Oryctolagus cuniculus: one gene and its partner. The protein of the gene in region 2 binds, or shares a complex with, the protein of the main gene of each other region. Links are inferred from orthologs where the notes say so. Each region holds a gene or a part of one and is shown on either strand. Other genes may lie near its edges.

The links.
Region 1: the proteins of SSTR5 (region 2) and CORT are in contact, whole or in part, in a cryo-EM structure (PDB 8X8L), measured with the Homo sapiens proteins. The link is inferred for Oryctolagus cuniculus from reciprocal best matches to the Homo sapiens genes SSTR5 and CORT. Residues at the interface, in NP_001044.1 of Homo sapiens: Tyr89, Leu96, Gln99, Asn100, Ser103, Asp119, Gln123, Glu182, Thr185, Cys186, Asn187, Ala188, Trp190, Gly198, Phe201, Ile202, Thr205, Phe264, Phe265, Asn268, Asn271, Glu279, Ala283, Tyr286, Phe287, Val290, Tyr294; in NP_001293.3 of Homo sapiens: Cys93, Arg94, Phe96, Phe97, Trp98, Lys99, Thr100, Phe101, Ser102, Ser103.

Annotation. Positions count from the first base shown.
Region 1 is NC_091438.1:157,764,506-157,771,388, forward strand, and holds CORT (cortistatin precursor), read right to left. Parts: upstream 3,018-6,883; coding exon 2,898-3,017; intron 2,087-2,897; coding exon 1,886-2,086; downstream 1-1,885. UniProt on the Homo sapiens protein: Binds to all human somatostatin receptor (SSTR) subtypes. It also inhibits cAMP production induced by forskolin through SSTRs.
Region 2 is NC_091450.1:33,806,077-33,813,503, forward strand, and holds the start of SSTR5 (somatostatin receptor type 5), read right to left. Parts: upstream 3,723-7,427; 5' UTR 3,671-3,722; intron 1-3,670.

The sequences.
Region 1 (6,883 bases), on a different chromosome or scaffold from region 2:
GCTCAGCCCCGGCCGCTGCAGGCTTTCGGGCAGTGAACCAGCAGTAGATGGGAGGTAGTCTCTGTCTGTCTGCCTTTCAAAATCAATACAGTTTTAAAATAAATACATACACTTCAGAAGGAAGTGGAGGCAAGGTACAGGCTAGGCAGCAGTGCTGCCCCCGTATCTGGTTTGAAATTATAAACGCCAGGGCGGCGCTGTGGCACAGAAGGTTAAGCACCCCCTGCAGCGCCGACATCCCATGTGGGCTGCGCCACTTCCGATCCAGTTCCCTGCTCATGCACCTGGGAAAGTAAAGATGGCCCCCGTGGGAGACCCGGAAGAAGCTCCTGGTTCCTGGCTTTGGATCAGCTCAGCTCTGCCAGTATGGCCATGTGGGGAGTGAACCAGTGGATGGAAGACCTGTCTGTCTCTCCCTCTCTCTGTTACTTTGCCTGCCAAGTAAATAAATCTTGGAAAAAGAAAGAATGAACGAAATAATAAACTTCAGGGCAAATCTAAGCTACAACCTGTGAAAATCACTAACAAATGAAGTCACTGATTAAAACCAGCACCTAACAGCAAGTTCAGGGGTCACTTTTATAATCAAGTCAGCACGGTGCTGTTTAATGGCACAGTTTCAAGATTAATTAGAGGGGCCAGCGCTGTGGTGTAGTGGGTAAAGCCCTCGCCTGGGGTGCTGGCATCCCATATGGGCACTGGTTCCAGTCCTGGCTGCTCCTCTTCCAGTCCAGCTCTCCGCTATGGCCTGGGAAAGCAATGGAAGATGCCCCAAGTCCTTGGGCCCCTGCACCTGTGTGGGAAACTGGGAAGAAGCTCCTGGCTCCTGGCTTCAGGTCGGCGCAGCTCTGGCCATTGTGGCCATCTGGGGAGTGAACCAGTGATGGAAGACCTCTCTCTCTGCCTCTGTCCCTACCTCTCCCTCCCTGTAACTCTGCCTTTCAAATAAATAAATAAAATCCTTTAAAAATTTAATTAGAGGGGTGGACGTTTGACCTAGTGGCTAAGATGCCAGCACCCCATATGAGAGTGTGTGGGTTCGATTCCCGGCTCTGGCTCCTGGGCCCAGCTTCCTGTCACTGCACACCCTGGGAGGCAGCAGGTGGTGGCTGCAGCAGTTGGGTCCCTGGGGGAGACCTGGGTGAGCTCCTGGCTGCCAGCTTTGGACTAGCCCAGCCCTGCTCACCGCGACCATCGGGGAAGTGGACCAGTGGATGGGCCCTTGTCTCTCCGTCCGAATATCTCTCAAATATTTTTAAGGTTAATTTTGGCTACAACATGAATATTTTGCTCTTTGAACACAATGTTGAAAAGCTGCTTTGAATGCGAGGGAAGCATTTTTCAGAGAATCTGTATCAAAACCAACTGAAACGTTATTCTGACCTCTTATTAGACAGGTGGCCTTGGGGCCGGCATTGTGGCCAGCATTCTATACGGGCACAGGGTCCAGTCCCAGCTGCTCCACTTCCTCTCCAGCTCTCTGCTGTGGCCTGGGAAAGCAGCAGAGGATGGCCCACGTCCCTGGGCCCCTGCACCGCGTGGGAGACCTGGAAGAGGCTCCCAACTTTGGCCTGGCCCAGCCCAGCCTTTCTGGCCATTTGGAAAGTGAACCAGTAGATGGAAGAGCTCGCGCTGTCACTCTGTAAGGTGGGGGGGGGTGGCCTTTGGCTATTGTAAACCACAGGAAGACGGGAGGTGGGGGGGGGCACTGAGCACGCCCTGCTCGCCACCAGAAAGCAGCATTTCCTTTGGATCCCAAACTGCTCCAGCTGCGGTGAGCCCGGCGCGCCAAGGCCCCGGGGCAGCTGGGAAAGAACACCGCTCACGCCCACTCTGCTGATCATATTTTATTCGGTTTCCAGGGGTCCCCGCGGGCGAGCGAGAGCTACTTGCAGGAGGAGAAGGTCTTCCAGAAGAAATTCCGGCAGGGCGGGGCCGGCGGAGGGGGCGGACCCTGCTGCCGCCTGGACATGGCCCCCGTGTCCCCTCGGCTGGGCGTGCCCCGGGCCTGGGCGGTCCACGCGTGCCACCGAGCCAGGAAGGTCAGGAGCCCGCTCTGCTCCGCCGCCGCCCCTTCCTGCGTGGGCTTTCAGAGAGAGGCAGATGACAAAGGAGAGAGAGGTCAGGAATCTGGCCCCCAGACTCGCAGGCCCTTCAACATGGAGAGGCGCTCCCCGCCCCAGGCTGGGAAGGCTGAGGGAGCCCCTTAGACGGAGGGCAAAGCCGGCAAGCCTGAGGCAAGTGCAGACTTCGTCCAGTCTGCCCCGGGCCTGGGGCAGGAGGGTCGGGACACCTGTCACTCCCCGTGCCAGAGGCAAGCAGGCAAGTGCAGACAGCGCCTGCTCCGCCCCGGGCCTGGGGCAGGAGGGTCGGGACACCTGTCACTCCCCGTGCACCGTGAGTGGCAGCTCCGAGACACCGGGGTGGGGACACTGCTCCGAGCAGCCTGCTGACGGATGGCCCATCTCAAACTCATCCGGCAATTTCAGAGAAAAATCCATTTTTAATGGTCGACTTTATGTAGTCTTTCTTGGAACTTTTTCAAAACGGACAAGAGAGAAATAAATCACCACAGGAAGTCGCGGATCCTCACAACGGACACTTGGTGATGGTTCATGTGCACCGGCGAGAGCGCGTGCCGTGTGCAAGTTAAGGCTGACCACGCGCCACCGCGGCTGGGGAGGCCACTTCAGGCTCCCCGGTGCCCCGTGTGTCACAGAGGTTTTCTGATGTCACTAGTGGTCCCCAGTAAGCCGAGTGTCCATCAGTTGCCTGCAGGGGACATCCCAGTACCACAGGGCAGCCCAGTCCAGTCTGGTGTCCTTCAACCCCCCACCACACATGCCCGGCCATGCAGATGCTGGGGGTCGCACAGGGGAGTGGGCGGCTGGACTCACCTGGCTGTCCTGGCCGGTGCCGCCGTCCAGGGCGAGGGTGGCCGTGGCCGCAGCCCCCGAGAGCAGCAGCAGCAGCAGGCCGGGGGGCAGCAGCACTCCTCTGGCTCTGCGGCGGCCCATGCTTCTCACGGCGCTGGCACCGACGTCTCCTGGATTTGGGTCTCTTTGCAGACTGGGGGTGTTTTAAGTCCGGGCGCCAGCTGTTTTTTGTCTACGCGTCTCCCACCTGTATCCTGTTTCCTCACGCCGGTATCGTGACGCACGAGCCAGAGCAATCAGGGCGCAGAACGCCCTGGGACTGGATTTAGCCCCTTAATTGGCGACCTCAGGTTGTGCCGGTGCCGGGAGTGAAGCTGCCCCTATTTTGGAAAGCACGTGCGTGTTTCTGAAGACGCTTCCCGTCTCCTAATTGTGCCCGTGCGTAAGCAGGAAGCTGAGCACAAAGCAAGTGATTTAACGTAACACAAAATTAGTCTTGGACAAGGAGCTGCAAATGGTAAAGACGGTGCCCATACCAAGTGTGACAGAATCTGCTGTGCGCACAAGAAACGAGGAGGCAGTGAGGGCCCAGGCACCGCGACAGCACCCACACCTTCACCCAACGGCGGGCCGGGACGCCACGCAATGGTGTCCAGCCCGGCCGTCAGCCCGGCCCCACTCTGGGCCAAGGCTTCTCAAGCTGTACAGTGTACCTGAACCACTAAGTGCAGATTCAGAGGCGGGCAGGGGCAGTGACGGGCTCCCAGGTGACACTGGCCCTGGAGCGCCGGGCTCTCGTGCCTTCCATGCTGCCACCAAGCAGCCTCTCGCGGTCACGGCGCTGCACTTCGCTTCTCCGATGAGACAGAAACCCACGTACGGGGCCGGCTTTGTGGCCAGGGGGTAAAGCTGCTCCTTTGCAGTGCCGGCATCCCATATGGGCGCAGGTTCAAGTCCCTGTTGCTCCACTTCCGATCCAGCTCCCTGCTAGTGCCCTAGGAAGGCAGTGGATGACGGTCCAAGCGCCTGGGGCCCTGCACCAATGTGGGAGACCAGGAAGAAGCTCCTGGCTCCTAGCTTGGGTCTGGCCCAGCCCTGGCCATTGTGGTCATTTGAGGAGTGAATCAGTGGATGGAAGACCTCTCTCTCTCTCTCTCTCTCTCTCTCTCTCTCTGTATCTCTGCCTTTCAAATGAAGAGTACTTTTTATTTTAAAGCAGATGTTTCACATATAGTGACCAGGCTGGTAGGACACCTTCCACCTGTCACCATCTGAGAAAGTATCTCCCCCCGAGCCTTCCTTGGCCAGCTCCCAGGACCCTCTCCTCCCACACGCAGTGCCACCTCTGGGAGGTGAGAATGTGCAGTCCTGACCCACCTCCTGGCCTCCCCACAGGGCTTGGTTTCAGATTCACCAAGACAAACGCAGAGCCCTTCTCTGAAGCGAGACGGCCAGGAGGGTCTGAATCACCCACCCCCTTTCCCGAGGGAGACCTGTCTTGAACCTCAGTCCCCTTGGCCTTTGTTTAAGATTCAAGGTAAAGTCAGCACGGCCTGAATACCCATGACGTCTACACTGCACGTCTACACTTTATTTCTATACCAAGATGAATAACTACTGTTTGTTTATTTATTTGAAAGAGTTACACAGAGAGAGGAGAGGCAGAGAGAGAGAGAGGTCTTCCATCCAAGGTTTACTCCCCAGTTGGCCACAATGGCAGGAGCTGCACCGATCCGAAGTCAGGAGCTTCCTCCAGGTCCCTCACGTAGGTGCAGGGGCCCAAAGACTTGGGCCATCTTCCACTGCTTTCCCAGGCCATAGCAGAGAGCTGGATTGGAAGTGGAGCAGCCGGGACTTGAACCAGCGCCCATATGGGATGCCGGCGCTTCAGGCCAGGGCATTAACCCGCTGTGCCACAGCACCGGCCCCAACACTGACATTTGGGGAATTCTTGCCATTGAGAACGTCAGGGCAGCTCAGCCAGCTTCTCAGACCCTCGGTGCGATGCGCAGGTCTGACTGGGTGGACTCGGTAAACACCTGGGTATCCAGCAGGTACACAGAACTCGTGCACCACAAAGCACCCACGCCACCCACACCCTGACAGCTGCCACAGCCTACGTGCTAGGCCACCCTCACTACACATGAGAGGCAAGTGAACTTCCAGTATAGGAATGTGCCAAGGAGGGCTCTGGCTGCAGCTTGGGCAGAGCTTCATTACAAGGTGGGAGGCTCTAGGCTCAGTCCTGGGGAGGCACAGTGACACAGGTTAAACCCCTAGGGATGCCCACTTCCCACGCCAGAGGCCCGGGATCAGATCCTCCACTTCCAATGCTGCTTCCTGCTGAGGTGCACCCTGGGAGACAGCAGATGATGGCTTAAGTATTTGGCTCCCAGCCACCCTCACGGGAGACCCATACGGGGTTCTCCCTGGCTTCCCCCAGGTGCGACAGCCTGGCTTCAGCCTGGCCCAGCTCTGGCTATTGAGGAGCAAATCAGTGGAAGATCTCTGTAGCTCCGCCTTTCAAACAAAGCAAGAAAATAAACTTTTTTTTTTTTTAAAGACTTATTTATTTGAAAGAGTTAGAGAGAGAAGGGAGAGAAGAATGAATACGAGTCTTCCGCCTGCTGGTTCACGCCCCAGATGGCCGCAATGCCAGTGATGGGCCTGGCTGAAGACAGGAGCCAGGAGCTTCTTCCAGCTCTCCCACGTGGGTGGCAGGGACCCAGGGACTTGGGCCATTTTCTGAGGCTTCCCCAGGCTCCTTAGCAGGGAGCTAGATCAGAAGAGGAGCAGCCAAGGCTAGAACCAGTGCCCATGTGGGATGCCGGTGTTGGAGGCAGTGGCTTAACCTGCTATGCCACAGCGTTCACCCCAAGAAAATAAACTTTTTAAAATATGAGGGGGCCGGTGCTGTGGCTTAGTAGGCTGAGCCTGTGCCTGTGACGCTGGCGTCCCATATGGATGCCAGTTTATGTCCCACTGCTCATCTTCTGATCTGGCTCTGTTTATGGCCTGGGAAAGCAGTGGGAGATGGCCCAAGTGCTCGGGCCCCTGCACTCACGTGGGAGACCTGGAAGATGCCCCTGACTTCAGATCATCCCAGCTCTGGCCATCGCAATCATCTGGGGAGTGAACCAGTATGTGGAAGCCCTCTGTCTCTCTCTCTCTCCCTCTCTCTGTAACTCTGCCTCAAATAAATGAATAAAAGCCTCTTAAAAATAAAATGTGTAAGTAGGTAACAAATAAACGTCAAACCAAGATATTACATGAATGACAACACAAGTCAGATTTCTTACTAGCTAGGAAAAATAAAATCCCATCAAAATACCCATACCAGGGCAGCCACTGTGGCACAGCAGCTGCAAGTCCTGGCTCCTCCACTTCCAATCCCGCCTGCCTGCTACCGTGCCTGGGGAAGACAGCACAAAGATGGCCCCAACACTTGGGCCCTGCTACCCAGGTGGCCCCTGGCTTCAGCCTGGCCTAACCCTGGCTGTTGTGGCCATTTAGGTAGCAAACCAGAGGGCAGAAGAAACCCTCTCCTGCCTCATCATTCTACCTTTCAAATCAATCAGCGAATCTTAAACTCACGGCACCTGGGAGACGCCCTCTGTGACATGCTAATGAGACACGCCGGCACACTCAGGCTCACCGTTTCTAGCCTCACGGAGACAAGAAACATAAAAGGCAGGATGTGTTCCAATGCCGAGTATTTTCAGCCCTGCTTCTCCAGTGAACACAGCTGCCAGAGCTGCCGGACCTGGGTGCCCGTCTGGATCTGCCAGCCCCCGGGGAGCCCGGGGCCCAATTCCCTGAGCTCCTCCTGACACGGAGCTGGAAGAGACACCACTGCCAACACGAGGGGCCTTGCTGGGGGCACCAAGAGGACGGGACTTTGTGACCCACGTTTCCCACGCAGGTGCCACACCCGGGATCCCACGGCGTCTGTGTCCACGGCTTTGAGAGCCAGACTGTAGGGTGTCCTGCTGAGCAGACTGAGCAGA
Region 2 (7,427 bases):
GTCGTGCCCCTCAGACAGGGGTCATGTGTCAGAGGTCATGCCCCTTAGGAGTTATGAGTGTCAGAGGTCACACCCCTCAGACGGGGGTCACATATCACACCCCTCAGACAGGGTGATGAGTGTCTAAGGTCACGCCCCTCAGACGGGGGTCATGAGTGTCGGAGGTCATGCCCCTCAGATGGGGGTCACGTGTACCAGGTCACGTCCCTCAGATGGGGGTCACGTGTGCCAGGTTGCACCCCTCAGATGGGAATCACGTGTGCCAGGTTGCGCCCCTCAGACGGGAGTCACGTGTGCCAGGTCACGCCCCACAGATGGGGTCACGAGTGTTGGAGGTTACAACCCTCAGACGGGGGTCACGTGTCAGAGGTCATGCCCCTTAGGAGTCATGAGTGTCAGAGGTCACAACCCTCAGATGGGGGTCACATGTCAGGTCACGTCCCTCAGACGGGGTCATGAGTGTCGGAGGTCACGTCCCTCAGATGGGGGTCACGTGTGCCAGGCCGCGCGCCGCAGGCAGCTGTGACGCGGTGGGCACCCGTCTCAGCCACTGTGGGACTTGGCTGTCTGGAGCTCTCACGGAAACCGCGCAGGGCCCAGCCCAGGCTCGACCTCCCCACGGCAGCCGCCGCCCCCGCCCCCGCCCCGCTCCCGAGGGCTGCCCCGCGACACCCCTGCTCCCTGCTCCCTGGGAGCCTGCAGGGACGGCTCCGCGTCTGGGTGCCAGTGGGAGTGGGTGTGGCAGTGGGAGCGACCCGCGGACAGGCGCTCGGTCTCCAATGAATGAATGAATGAATGAATGTTTGAATCGCGCCACGCCGGGGTGCCTCAGGAGAGGCAGGGACGAGCTACTAGGACATAAACCCGGTTCCTAGGGGGACAGCGAGCAGGTGTCTTTCCTGAAAGTACAAACCTTGAGTGTGAAAAGTAGTCACTTGGACGAAGAAATACACAAGTCAGGCTCGGGAGGTGCACAGCGCCCGAGCAGCGGACAGGGCCTGAGCCGGCCGGGCAGACCTGGGGGCTGTGGGGGCCTGAGCCGGCAGACCTGGGGGCTGTGGGGGGCCGGGCAGACCTGGGGGCTGTGGGGGCCTGAGCCGGCAGACCTGGGGGCTGTGGGGGGCCGGGCAGACCTGGGGGCTGTGGGGGCCTGAGCCGGCAGACCTGGGGGCTGTGGGGGGCCGGGCAGACCTGGGGGCTGTGGGGGCCTGAGCCGGCCGGGCAGACCCGGGGGCTGTGGGGGCCTGAGCCGGCCGGGCAGACCCGGGGGCTGTGGGGGCCTGAGCCGGGCAGACCTGGGGGCTGTGGGGGCCTGAGCCGGCCGGGCAGACCTGGGGCTGTGGGGGCCTGAGCCGGCAGACCTGGGGGCTGTGGGGGGCCGGGCAGACCTGGGGGCTGTGGGGGCCTGAGCCGGCCGGGCAGACCTGGGGGCTGTGGGGGCCTGAGCGAGGCCTGGGCAGACCTGGGGTGGCTGTGGGGGCCTGAGAGGGGCAGGGCAGACCTGGGGAGGCTGTGGGGGGCCTGAGAGGGGCGGGGCAGACCTGGGGAGGCTGTGGGGGGCCTGAGAGGGGCGGGGCAGACCTGGGGAGGCTGTGGGGGGCCTGAGCCGGCCCTGGGGGGGCTGTGGGGGGCCGGGCAGACCTGGGGGCTGTGGGGGCCTGAGAGGGGCTGGGCAGACCTGGGGGGGGCTGTGGGGGGCTGGGCAGACCTGGGGAGGCCGTGGGGGCCTGAGCCGGGCAGACCTGGGGAGGCTGTGGGGGGCCTGAGAGGGGCTGGGCAGACCTGGGGGGCTGTGGGGGCCTCCCACAGGTGGGGTGAGACAAGATCTCTGCTTAAAAAGACGAGGTGGGAGTTGGGGGTGACCAACTTCCAGGCAACGCCCAGGAGTCCCCGTGGCCCTGGGCGAGGGGCGGGCAGGTCTGGCTGGAGCCTGCTCCCACAGGGGCCGCCGGGCGGAGGTGGGCAGAGCTGGCCCGGCACCCCACCCGCTCCGGGAGCACATGCGGTTCCAGCCCGGCTCTGCTCCCTGCTGCCGGGCGCCCTGGGCGGCAGCGCTGACGGCCCTGCCACTCCCGTGGGAGGCACCGGCTCGGGCTCTGGCCTGGCCCAGCTGTGACTGCAGTGGGCACTTGTGGGTGAACCAGGGACAGGAACTCTGTGTCCCTGTGCTCTCCAATAAACACAAAGCTCAGGGGAGAAACCAGAGTTCAGGGGTCTCAGATGAGGCCGAGCCGCCGGGTGGCTGTGCAGTGGGCAGGGGGCGGCGTGGGGGTCCAGGCAGACAGGACGCACGGCCCGAGGGGGGCTCCTCACGCAGGTCCTGGCACACGAGGCTGCCCAGGGGCAGAAGCTCCCGGCGCCCCGGCTCCACCGGCCAGGCCCTGGCTCCGCTGTCCAGGCCCCGGCTCCACCGGCCAGGCTCCTGCGGCTCTGAGACCTCAGGGCAACCGGGCCCAGGAACAGGTCTGCGGGGGGCACGGCCATGCGAGGGGGCCGCCGCACTCAGACGGGGCCCTGCACCTGTTTTCCGGGGGAGGGGCTTTTTGGCTGGGAGACAGCCCCCCCGCAGGGCTGTGCTCAGCCAGCAGGTCCCCCACACCCGCCCTGACACTCAGGACCCTGGGCTGCCCCCCCAACCCTCCTGGCACAACCCTTGTGTCCCTGAGCCTGGCTGCCGGGGGGGGGGGGGGGGCTGCCGAACCTGGGCAGGGGGCAGAGAGTGGGGCGGTGCCTGGAGTTCAAGGCACACCCCCCAGCGCCGCCCCTGGCTCTGGCCCCTCAAGAGGGCCCTGGGGGCAGGGCCAGCTGGGGCCCGGGCCACCCCTCCCCGCTGGCCTGGCAGGACAGCCCAGCCTGGAGAGGCTGAAGACGGCTCTCTGGGCCTAGCATCTCGCCCTGGGGCCCACACCCCACCAGGGGGCCACGCGGGGTCCCCGGGGAAGGTGGAGGGGATTCCTGCCTCAGACACCAGGCTCCACCCCACCCAAGGGCCTGGCCCAGGCCCCCTCCCGGAAAAGCCCCCTCCCGGCACAAGCCCACTGAGCGCTGCGGGGCTCACCTCTGGGTCGGAGCCATGGCAACCCCTAGCCCGTCCCCCACACCCCAGGGGCCCTCAGCAGCCTGTAGTCAGCGGCAGCACCCTCCCCACAAGGGGAAACTGAGGCAGGGGTGGGCTGGCCTGAGTACCCCAGCACCTCACAGCCCGTGCACTCTGGAAACCCCGGTCACCGTTTCAGACCCGAGGCCGGCCGCTGGTCCTCGCCGGGCCCCCCGCCCCCATATTCTCTCCCAAGACACCAGGGAACCACCGCTGCCTTCGGGTTGCTGGGCTCCGGGCCCCCAGGCAGCGCCAGGCGGCGAGCAGGCCCCCAGGACCCTGTGACGGTCCACAGCGCCCTCCCTTCCCGGGAGGGTTGCCCGGAAGTCGGGGGCTGCAGGGTGCAAGCGCCCTCCCGGCGGCCGGCAGAGCCGGCGGTCAGCGCACACCCGACCGCCTCGCGCCCAACCGCGGACGGCCCCCCCCCCCCCGCCCCACCGGACAACCTGCGGCGCTCGCCCTGGCCCCCGCTGCCCGCACCCTCCCCAGCCCTGGAATCCCCCCAGTCGGGCCACCGCTCAGGTCCCCGCGGTTCGGCCACGACCCCGCGCGCGCGAGGGCAGGGGCGCTCACCTGCGCGGCGGCCCGCGGAGCCGGTCGGGTGCTGCGCTCGCTCCGGGCGCCGGGCGCCTGCGGGGCGGGGCGCGTGGGGCGGGGGCGCCCGCGGGGCGGGGCGGGGCCGTGGGGCGGGGGCGCCTGCGGGGCGGGGCGGGGGCGCCTGCGGGGCGGGGCGGGGCCGTGGGGCGGGGGCGCCCGCGGGGGGGGCGGGGCCGTGGGGCGGGGGCGCCCGCGGGGCGGGGCGGGGCCGTGGGGCGGGGGCGCCTGCGGGGCGGGGCGGGGCCGTGGGGCGGGGGCGCCCGCGGGGGCCGGGGGCGGGGCCGTGGGGCGGGGGCGCCCGCGGGGGCCGGGGCCGGGGCCCGGGGGCGGGGCCCGGGAGCTTCACCTGCCTGGCGGCCCGCGGCGCCCAGACTCCGGAGTGCGTCGCGCTGGCTCCTCCTAACGGTCCAGGCCCCGGCGCGTACTCTTGCCGCCCGCCGGAGTCAGGGAAAATGGGGTGCGCCCGCCCCAGGAGAAGCACCGGGCACTCGGGCTTCTCGCGGATGAACAGGGGCTGTGCCGGGGACGGCGGTGGGGTTGGAGACCTCGGGCACCTGCCCGGCTCTGGCCCTCGCGGGGGTCTCGCTTTCCCGCCAGCTCTCTGGGGCTCCTGGGAGTACGCGGGGTTCAGCCGACACCTGCAGTGTGGGCAGGCGGCCCGGAGGGTGTGGACAGGAGCCGAGGGTGGGCAGGGAGAGACCGGCTGGGCGAGGCTGGGAGCTCCGGGCCAGGCCCTGGGGTGGTGCCCACGGGTGCTGGCGGCTCCCAGGAGGCTGGGTCCCTGGGGGGGTCTGTTGTGGGGGTCGGGGGCTTTCGGGGAATGGCGGCTCGTTGGTCCCTGGCTTCTTCCCTGCTGCCCGGCAGGGTGCGCAGTGCCTGCCCTGGAGCTGACGCTGCAGTGCCGGGGCCTCTGGCCTCTGACCTGGCCAGGGACAGGGGACAAGGGGACAACGGGACAAGGGGACAAGCAAGCCGAGGGCAGCTGCCCCCCACCCGGCCCCAGCAGCCCCCTGCAGCATCTGTGGACAAAATGGACGGCTCTGTCCACGGGCTCAGAACCCGCGGAGCCGACGGGGCCGGTTTGTAAAGGGGGCGTTTCCGACCGAGCAGTGGAGCTGGAGAGAGAAGCAGGCACACGGGCCCTGGGCGGCGAGCGGCGGGGGGCGGGAGTGGTGCCTGGAGCCGAGCCCCCTCTGCCTTGCTCTCTGGCCCCCAGCACAGCCAGAGGCCGGGGGTGGGGTGGGGAGATGGGGCAGACAGTGTCCAGCCGAGGCGGCTTTGCCGACAGCGGCGAGGCCACAGAGAGCAGACAGGAAGCTGTGGAGGCTGAGCAGACGCTGTGGGGGAGACCCTGTGCTGGGGGCCCCGGGGGTGACACTGCCCTGACCTCCTCAGCCCCCCACCCACGGAGGCCGCTCCCGGGCCAGGCCTGGAGGGCTGCCCCGGGAGAGTCACCCCTGCTCCCCAGCCAGGTCCCCAAGCCCCGTCCCCAGCCCACTCAACCTCGCCCACCAGGGGCTCCCTCCAACCTGCCGCTGCCTGCAGGTGCCTGGGCACAGCTGGCGCCTCCTGGGAATGCAGGAGGGACACGGCCCAGCAGCCTGCCCGGGCCCCTGAGACCGGAACCCCGGGAGCCCTGATGGCCAGAGGTGGCCCGGCTGCCCCGAGCCCCTCCCGCACCCCAGCCGGCAGGATCCAGCTAGGTGAAGTGGGCGGGACGCTCAGACAGTGCCGATGGGTGTGGCCCAGGAGCCATGGCAACGGGACAGTGGCCACATGGACTCCCTAGGGGGACCCCAGGCACTTCTCACGGGGACCCGTACCGTAGCCGTGACCCACAGGGGCCTGCGACACCCCAGGTGCAGCTGCCTGCTCTGAGACAAAGGCCGGTCCAGTGACCCCTGGACTTCAGCCCCAGGCTAGAGCACCCCAGAGGGAAGGAGGGGGTGTGGCCCTGTCCGGCCGCCTCCCGTCACCCACGACACGGCCTGGGGCTCGCCCACCTCCGTTTCTCCTGTGAATGCCCTCAGTTCAGATGACCCTTCCTCCAGGAAGCCCCTCTGGGTCTCGGCCGTCTCAGGGCCCAGCAGGCAACAGCTTCCTGGGGAACCCCTGCCCACGCCCCTGTGCACCCCTGCTGACGCCCCTGTGCACCCCTGCCCACACCCCTGTGCACCCCTGCTGACGCCCCTGTGCACCCCTGCCCACGCCCCTGTGCACCCCTGCCCACACCCCTGTGCACCCCTGCCCACGCCCCCAGAGCACCCCTGCCCACGCCCCCAGGGCACCCCTGCCCACGCCCACAGGGCACCCCTGCCCACACCCCTGTGCACCCCTGCCCACGCCCCCAGGATACCTCTGCCCACGCCCCCAGGACACCCTGCCCACAACCCCTGTGCACCCCTGCCCACACACCCAGGGCACCCCTGCCCATGTCCCTGTGCCCCCCTACCCATGACCCCAAGGCACCCTGCTCACAACCCCAGGACACCCCTGCCCACACCCCTGTGCACCCCTGCCCACGCCCCCAGGGCACCCCTGCCCACAACCCCAGGGCACCCCTGCCCACACCCCCAGGGCACCCCTGCCCACAACCCCAGGGCACCCCTGCCCACACCCCCAGGGCACCCATCCTCACGCCCCCAGGGCACCCCTGCCCACACCCCTGTGCACCCCTGCCCACACTCCCAGGGCACCCCTGCCCACACCCCAGGGCACCCCTGTCCACACCCCTGTGCACCCCTCCCCACACTCCCAGGGCACCCCTGCCCACACCCCAGGGCACCCCTGCCCACACCCCCAGGGCACCCATCCTCACGCCCCCAGGGCACCCCTGCCCACACCCCTGTGCACCCCTCCCCACACTCCCAGGGCACCCCTGCCCACAACCCCAGGGCACCCCTGCCCACACCCCCAGGGCACCCATCCTCACGCCCCCAGGGCACCCCTGCCCACACCCCTGTGCACCCCTGCCCACACTCCCAGGGCACCCCTGCCCACACCCCAGGGCACCCCTGTCCACACCCCTGTGCACCCCTCCCCACACTCCCAGGGCACCCCTGCCCACACCCCAGGGCACCCCTGTCCACACCCCTGTGCACCCCTCCCCACACTCCCAGGGCACCCCTGCCCACACCCCAGGGCACCCCTGCCCACACCCCTGTGCACGCCTGCCCAGGTGCCTCTCCACCCCCTACTGGGAAGAGGAGGCCAGCCTGTCTGGGACAGAGTGGTGAGCAGGTGGGGGACCTGCGGGGGAGGCTGTGGCCGGGGAACGAGGCAGGTGGGATCAGAGCCGCCCTGGCGGAGGCCGGGAGGCGGGAGGGCGCAGGCTGGGCCCCGCCGGGCTTGCTCCATAGCTTGCTCACTGGGCTCAGCCTGGCTGCCCCTGCGCGTGTCACCGAGGTTGGGCTGGGGCTCCCGGGGGGCTCCGGCCCCTCTGTCTCCTGACAAAGTGCTTAACCCATTCCTGGGACCCCTGCGTCCTGTGCCCCCTCTGCCCCGGACCCCAGCACCCCTTCCTCCCAGCTCCACACCTGGGCTCCCTATGCCAGGGCGGTGAAGGGAGGAGCAGGGAGGGTTGCGGGCACCCCCCACCCACGCTAGGGCACACGGGGGCCCCAGGGGGGCTGGGCTGTCCTCATGGCCCATGGCCACTGCCTCCAGTCCCTCCCTTGCCCGGCCCTGGTGCCGATATGGACGCTGGAGGGCAGGGGTGGGTGGCTCTGCCTGG